Rattus norvegicus: one gene and its partner. The protein of the gene in region 1 binds, or shares a complex with, the protein of each later gene. Links are inferred from orthologs where the notes say so. Each region holds a gene or a part of one and is shown on either strand. Other genes may lie near its edges. The genes, in order: Sympk and Ssu72.

Region 1 (3,813 bases):
GGGGTGCTCGGGCGGGGTTAGGTCTGATTCTATGATACAAGGGAAAAATGAAGACAGTGATGCTGACCGGAGCCTCTGTTGCACGTCAGGAAGCAAACTGCCTGACTGTCAGCATGGCTGTGTCTCTAACTTAGTGTCCACTAGGGAGGGGAACCATGACCATTCTCCCAAGTTAGGACAAAAGAGGTGTGGCTGCAGAACCCCACAAACGCTTGGTGGCTCTAGCACTGACTCTGAGGCAGAGGGAGAACCTGGTCCAGCACTCAGCCTACCTTATATTTGCAGGGCCCACATGCCAACGAGACGAGGACTCACCGTGGCTGTGTGACAGGAATGATGGGTTCTGGCCTCCTCTTGGCCTGGGGTACTTCCTCCTCCAAGGGGGACATGGTGCTCTGAGAGCCCACCACAGAGATGGCCTGGCCCTGCACTGACAGGCGCCGTTTGATCAGGACGCTCTCCGGCTTTACCACCTTCTCCTCCTTGGGCTCCTCCTTGCACTGTTTCGTCTGTTCCACACCTGAACGGATGCAGCCACAGGACCCAGCATGTCACCTGCACTCCAGGCTCTGCCATGACGCACAGGGCCCACAGCACTGTGTAGCCCAACTAACAAATGATCCGCGGACGGAGCCAGACAAGTCCATCCTGGAGCACAGCCAGTGCCCAGCTCAAGATGATTACCACAAGCAGGTCCCTCAGATTTATGTCCGTGTGGCATGCATGAGTATGCTTGTAAGTGTGTGTGCTGGTGTGCTAGACTGCATACACACGCGGGAGAGGCAGGCTTGCATCTTCATTTATCTCCACTTTACTTCTTATTGAGACAAGAATATCACTGTGCAGCCGATTAGCCTGGACTTGCTACGTAGAACAAACGTCAAACACAGGCATCCGCCTGAGTGCCGAGGCTCAAAGCCCACACTGCCGTCCTGCCCGCTTCTTACATTTTACTTATGTGTTGTGCATGTGTACACATACGGAGGTCAGAGGACACTTGTGGAGCTGGGACTAAACTCGGGTCTTTGGGTGGGGCAGCAGGCACCTTTGCCAGCTGAGAGCCATTTAACCAGACCCACATTACTGTCTAAAAGAGTTCACCCACGGAACCCTGTTTCAGCCAGACTAGTTGACCAGGAATATCCTCAGATCACCTGTGCCTGTCCCACCCAGTGCTGGGGTTACAGGTGCACACCACCTTGGCTTCTCTGTGGACGTTAGGGATCAGAACGATTATGTCTTATTTATCTGTATGGGGATTTACATACAGATGCTAGGGTGCATGTGTGCAGTTTTCTCCTTCCACCACGTGGTTCCAGGACTCACTTTGGGTTGGACAGCAAACATGTTCGCCCCGAGCTGTCTCACCAGCCCTTCTGAAGTTTGTGGGTCAGGGTCTCTCATGTACCCCAGGCTGTCCTTAAACTCACTATCCATCCAAGGATGACCCTGAACCTCTGACTCTCCTACCTCTGCCTCCTGGGATGACAGGTATGTCCACTAGAGTGTGCTCACTATACTGACTTTAGCAGCAGAGGGCATGGTGACTTGACAACACACTCAGTTGAAAACCTGAGGCACCAGAGTCATACACAGCCACTGTTCACAGCAACCATGTCTGAACCAAGGGATGGCAAGATGGCTCAGGGGATAAAGGGCACCCGAGTTCAAGCTTTGGAACCCACACAAAAGTGGAGCATGTCTTGTGAAGCTCACAGCCACGTTGACACTGTAGTTGTGCACGTGATGTGTTCCTGTTCATAAGTTATACTTCAAGACCATGCTGGTGCTGAGAGCAGCTCACACCCGCAATCTCAGCACTCAGGAAGCTACTCCAGAAAACGGGTGCAAGTTAGAAGCCAGCACGGCTGTACAGCAAGACCCTGTCTTACGGAAGGCAAAAGCCTGGGCTAGAGAGATGGCTCAGTCATGAAGGGCACATGATGCTCATGCAGAGGACCTAAGCTCCATTCCCAGCACCCACAACCTCTCCTAACTCTCCCAGGAATCTGACACCCTCTTCTGGCCTCTGACACACACATAAAGCAAAACAATCCAATCAAAGAGGGACAGACTCCAAGGCTCAGAGGCTGGGAAACCTGACACAAGTCACCCTGGATTCTGGTGGCGTCATCAGTTGGATTTCAAAGCTCAGGACCTGAAGTCACTGAGTACTCTGCATAATGATGGACCCAGGACAGGTGACATATTAGATGACATGTGACCTTCCTTTCCATGGCTCTCTCAGTAAGCAGAGTCCAGCACCACTGTGCTGCCTGGTTCAGCAGGAACTCACCAGGACCCAGTCCCGCAGCTGTCATCTGTGTGGCCATGAGCCGTGCCAGGTGCTTGATCTGGGCTTCTGTGCCTGCTGACTCCACGGGGGTGTAAATGGCTTGGAAGGAGGCAGGCATGGTCTCGGGCAGGTACACCATGCTGATGAGGACCTGTGCGAGGCCAAGGGAGGGGAACTTAGCCAGCCCATCCTAGGACAGCATTGGAGCCGCAGCAGGAACTGAGGTCAGGGCTGGGGCTGGGGCTGCTCTTTTCACCCTAGCTTCTGGGGAGCCAATGGCTGCCAGACTGTCACCTGGGTGACAGAGGCCCCAACCCCAAGAACAGAGTGAGCAGATGGGGAGTGGGGTACTGAGAATAAATAGCCACTAGAAGGACAGTTCTAAGGGAGGGAGGGAAGCCCTGGCTGATGCTACCAAGACAGCCATAGTGTAGGGCAGGCAGGGAAAGGACTGGGATCAGGCCCGTCCCTGGACATCACCCTCCTCACCAGATTGGCCACATTGTCAGGTGTCAGCAGAGGCTGCAAGAACTCAGCAGTGATGTCTGTGTCTGACTGGCCTGAGATCTGGGCTGAGGCCTTTGATGTCCCCGATGGGCCAGGCTCCAAGTCTTTGTCCTCATCATCTTCTCCCAGGTTGGGCTCTGAGAAGGGAAGGGAATAAGAAGCAGGTTCCCAGACTGCAGCAGGCCTGTGTTCAGGGAGCCACATGGCCTTCCTTTAGCAAACCACTGCAAGGAGCAGCCATACAGCAGGCAAGGACCTAGGCTGTAGTGTACTATGGCCATAAAAGTGCACAGGTCCCCAGTCAGCAAAAGCTCTTCCGGGTCTCAGTTCTCACCAGGGACATGGCAAAAAGCCAAAAACCTCTAGTTGACTTCAGTAAGCTCCAAGATGGTGACATATGGATAATATATTCTATATTGAAGATGGAATGCAGGAGCCTGCAGGAACCAGGCAGGTGCCCCCGGTGGGAGACAGTTCTGCTATTGCTTCAAGAGGCAGAGGCAGGCAGATCTCTATGAGTTTGAGGCCAGCCTGGTCTATAGAGTGAGTTATAGGACAGCCAGGGCTACACACAATCTTAAAAAAAAGTCTTTAAGAAAAACCAAATAAATAAAATCTTTTTTAAAAAGAGAAAATTGGGGCTGGAGAGATGGCTCAGCGGTTAAGAGCACTGACTGCTCTTCCAGAGGTCCTGAGTTCAATTCCCAGAAACCACATGGTGGCTCACAGCCATCTGTAAAGGGATCCAATGCCCCCTTCTGCTGTGTCAGACACACCAGATGCAGTGTACTCATATAAATATAATTTTTTTTAAAAAAAGGAGAAAATTGATTTTAGACAAATAACAAACAGAAACCCGTTACGGAGGTGTCCCTTCCTTTAGAGTGTTCTGTGGTTAGATGTGCAGGACAGTCCTACAGCAGCGACAAACTCTTCACGAAAGGAACGTTAATGCTTCCATGCATGTAACAGAGCACTTGGCCACCATTAAGAAGAGGTGGGATGGGGTA
Region 2 (3,442 bases), on another chromosome or scaffold:
GTCCCCAGCTCCGGAAAAAAAAAAAAGAACCAAAAGTAGTCTCTATCCAGGCAAGAAGTGTGCGTATGTGGTGGAACCAACGGCAGTCTTCCCAGGCAGGGCCATCCTGTGACCACAGTTCTTGGTCTGACTCTGGGTAGTGGGGAATGCAAAGTGGCTTTTCCCACTGTCCCTAGCTCTGTCCATGTGACTTTCTCCTCACTATCTCCAGCTTTTCCTTGGAGTCAGTACTAATTCTGAGTTACCAGGAACTTGATTGGATCCCTGCCCCAGGAAAGGCCTATTTCCCTGTCCTCTTTCCCATAAGTTATACGAGCCACAGGGTTTGGTCTTGAACTCATTCTCTCCTCCAGTACGTTTGAAGGACTCTATAAACTTGGGTGCAGCTCTTGTAGGCAGCAAGGAGACATTAGAGGATGCTCCAGGGCCTAGCCCCAGAAGAGCCTATGATGCAGGGGATGGAACTACCTAGCAGCTCTTGATCAGGTATCTTCCAGTTAAAGTGTTTAGATTGGCCACTTAAATGTGTTCTAAAATAATGTAGGAACTGTTTTTTAAGGCACTATGAAATGGCTCAGTGGGAAAGGACATATAAGTCCTAAACCCCATATGAGACTGAATAGCCTCCTCGGTCATACTGACCACAGCTCTGATTTTGCTTTTAGCACTAGCTAAAGTTACCTCTTATCTGTGCCTGTTTGTTTTACTTGCAAACTGGAGTTCTATAGCAGAGACAAAGCCCCAATCCAGCTAAGCTATGGTGAGAAGAAAATCTGAAAAAAAAAATCCATTGAATTTTTTATTTTATTTAGTTTAGTTTTTATTTATTTTTTATTTATTATTTAGTTTCTGGAGACAGAGTTTCTCTGTGTAGTCCCAGTTGTCCTGGAACTCACTCTGTAGACCAGACTGGCCTTGAACTTGAGATCTGCCTGTATCTCCCTCCTGAGTGCTGGTATAAGGGCATGTACTACCAGACTTCCACTATATTTCTTAAACCCCAGCAACAAAAAGGGTCTGGAAAACTCCCACTGATGATCCAGAAAGGACAAGTTCTTTTTCATCTGAAAGCAGGGAGACTGCCTGATGAGATCAAAAGGATATTCCAGATGGCACCTGTATGCTTAGGCCCATCAGCCCTGGCAAAAGCCAGGAGAGCCACTGCCTCTGGGGCTTTCCATCCTCAAATAGTCCCTGGACCACTCATAGTCTGAGGTCTACGCTGTGCTGCTCTGGACACTTAGGAACAAGGATCTGTTTAACTTCCTGTTCCAGGCTGAGAGGAGGGGCCGGTACCATGCCTTTACTTTGTCCAGTCAGAATGACAGGGCTATCTGGAGCCACTCTGTGGGTTTGGGTTGTCATGAGGGTTATGATCTAAGAGGTCAGCACTTTCCTGTACTTCCTGTTGTAGGGCAGGGGCCACCCTGCTTGTGTTCAGGCCTAGAGCTATGGGTGATCATGTTGACAAAGGCCAACTTGGAGCCCTGAGAAGCAGGGGCCGTTGACAGGCAGGTCTACATTAGTGGACTATCTTTTATCCAAAGCTCCTTGACTCTGGTGTTCAGCTATACACAAAATGGAATTCTACATATGTTGGACAGAAATAAAAGGATCAAGCCCCGTCCAGAAAGATTCCAGAACTGCAAAGACCTGTTTGACCTGATCCTCACTTGTGAAGAGAGAGTCTATGACCAGGTTGTAGAAGGTGAGTGCACATACAACACCAACACTAGGCTAATAGACATATGGTTGCCCTGGGCAACAGTGGTGTTGAGACAGAGGGCACCCTCACATCCTCTGACCTGTACGGACATCTGGAGGATAGCCTGTGAGGAGTAAGCACAAGACTGATGTCCAACAAAGCTTACGCCCTGTGGCCTTCAGTGTTTGCTTTTCCTATGTTAGGCCTGGCATTTTGTGGAACATGCTGTTGGTCCAGGGTTGCCTGGCATAGGATGGCCTGGATTGAGTACACTGTTTACCTTGGTCTCTTAGCCCATGTTGGGGGCTGTCCCTCATGTTAGTTCATTGGGTTTGGGGGCTCAATCTTCAGTTAAATTCCTCAGAGTTCAGGGGCAGGCATGGTAAGAACTGGACTTGGATACATCTGCACTCGGTGTCTCTTTTTACCAATCAGATCTGAACTCCAGGGAACAGGAGACCTGCCAGCCAGTGCATGTGGTCAATGTGGACATCCAGGACAACCATGAAGAGGCCACCCTGGGAGCATTCCTTATCTGCGAGCTCTGCCAGTGTGTGAGTCTCAGCACCCAGGTCTAGGCAGTGCCTACCAGAGGAAGTAGCTGCAACCCAGTCCTGTTGGGGCTGCAGAGGAGACAGTGCGGTGGAGGACAGGGGCAGGGAAGGCATGTCACAGTGCCTGGGGTTCACTTAAGGCTGTGCTTTTCCCAGATCCAGCACACCGAGGATATGGAGAATGAAATCGATGAGCTGCTGCAGGAGTTTGAGGAGAAGAGTGGCCGGGCCTTTCTGCATACTGTCTGCTTCTACTGAGCCATCCCGCTTGGTGCATGGCCTGGCACCACCAAGCCACCTTTGCTGAAGTCACTTTTTCCATGTGTTTTCCCTGCTACGTGTACATCACCAATGTACTGTACATATAGAGTGAGACATACACAGAAATGCCAGATTCAAAACCATTGTTTTTAACCAAAAGAAATAAAGATGGTTTACTCTACACCCTACAGCAAGTGTCTGTTGTTGGCCCACCTACCCGTTTTCTCTCCACTGCTGGACTGTACAGAAACCTAAGTAAAGCAACAGGCTGTCTTATTGAGGGGGGAAAACCTTGGAATTGCAACAAAATAGGTGCTTATAAAAGTCTTTGATTTGTCCTGAATTTCTGGCCTGACCCCCTGCAGAGGAAGAGGCTACCCTGGGCCTTTGAGCCCAGCCCTGTGACATACCTGAGATCACCCTTCTGAGAGGTAGGGCCAGTACCCTGGATACAACAACTCCAGTTGGGACGACTTGGGGGGCTGGAAGTCAGCTGTTCTCTTCCTGCTTTTGTCACACAGGGCAGGGTTGGTTCTTATGTTATCAGCTCTGTGGCCAACACAAGGGCTTGGGACTCAATTTGGCTCCAGGTATGACCGGCAGCCACAAGAGGATCATAGACACTGAGCTGCTGGCTTCAGGCAACTGTTCCAGCTCCTCTTCCTTCCCAGAAGTCGGCTAGTCTTTCCCACAACTGCCACGATCTCTATGGCATATTTGGCCCATTCCGTATTGCCTACCCTCTTGCCCTCCTACCTCTGGTCATGTAGTCATAGTCCCTGGTCTGACTTTTCAGGCCCCTCCTCTGATGGCACTTTCTTGCTGGAAGCGGCTGGGTGCTGACACTTCCTGTCCCTCTTTGGAACCAGGAGACCCAAGAGGAGGGGCCTGCCTTGGAGAAGTAGAGCCGAAACGACCACCC

The links.
Region 2: the proteins of Sympk (region 1) and Ssu72 are in contact, whole or in part, in a crystal structure (PDB 4H3K), measured with the Homo sapiens proteins. The link is inferred for Rattus norvegicus from reciprocal best matches to the Homo sapiens genes SYMPK and SSU72. Residues at the interface, in NP_004810.2 of Homo sapiens: Val123, Lys127, Leu131, Gln135, Asp175, Asn176, Asp177, Gly178, Thr181, His182, Lys185, Glu188, Pro204, Arg205, Arg206, Gln207, Ser250, Ile251, Thr254, Thr255, Asn262, Ala290, Ser292, Gln293, Ser295, Ser296, Lys299, Asn300, Leu303, His304; in NP_054907.1 of Homo sapiens: Glu113, Tyr116, Asp117, Val120, Asn124, Glu127, Gln128, Glu129, Thr130, Cys131, Gln132, Pro133, His135, Asp167, Glu169, Asn170, Asp173, Gln177, Glu180, Thr186, Phe187, Leu188, His189, Thr190, Val191, Phe193.

What each region holds. Positions count from the first base shown.
Region 1 is NC_086019.1:87,813,840-87,817,652, reverse strand, and holds part of Sympk (symplekin), read right to left. Parts: intron 2,941-3,813; coding exon 2,786-2,940; intron 2,448-2,785; coding exon 2,297-2,447; intron 521-2,296; coding exon 316-520; intron 1-315. UniProt on the Homo sapiens protein: Scaffold protein that functions as a component of a multimolecular complex involved in histone mRNA 3'-end processing. Specific component of the tight junction (TJ) plaque, but might not be an exclusively junctional component. May have a house-keeping rule.
Region 2 is NC_086023.1:171,622,968-171,626,409, forward strand, and holds the end of Ssu72 (RNA polymerase II subunit A C-terminal domain phosphatase SSU72), read left to right. Parts: intron 1-431; exon of another isoform or gene 432-486; intron 487-1,547; exon of another isoform or gene 1,548-1,568; coding exon 1,569-1,708; intron 1,709-2,140; coding exon 2,141-2,259; intron 2,260-2,415; coding exon 2,416-2,517; 3' UTR 2,518-2,708; downstream 2,709-3,442. UniProt on the Homo sapiens protein: Protein phosphatase that catalyzes the dephosphorylation of the C-terminal domain of RNA polymerase II. Plays a role in RNA processing and termination. Plays a role in pre-mRNA polyadenylation via its interaction with SYMPK.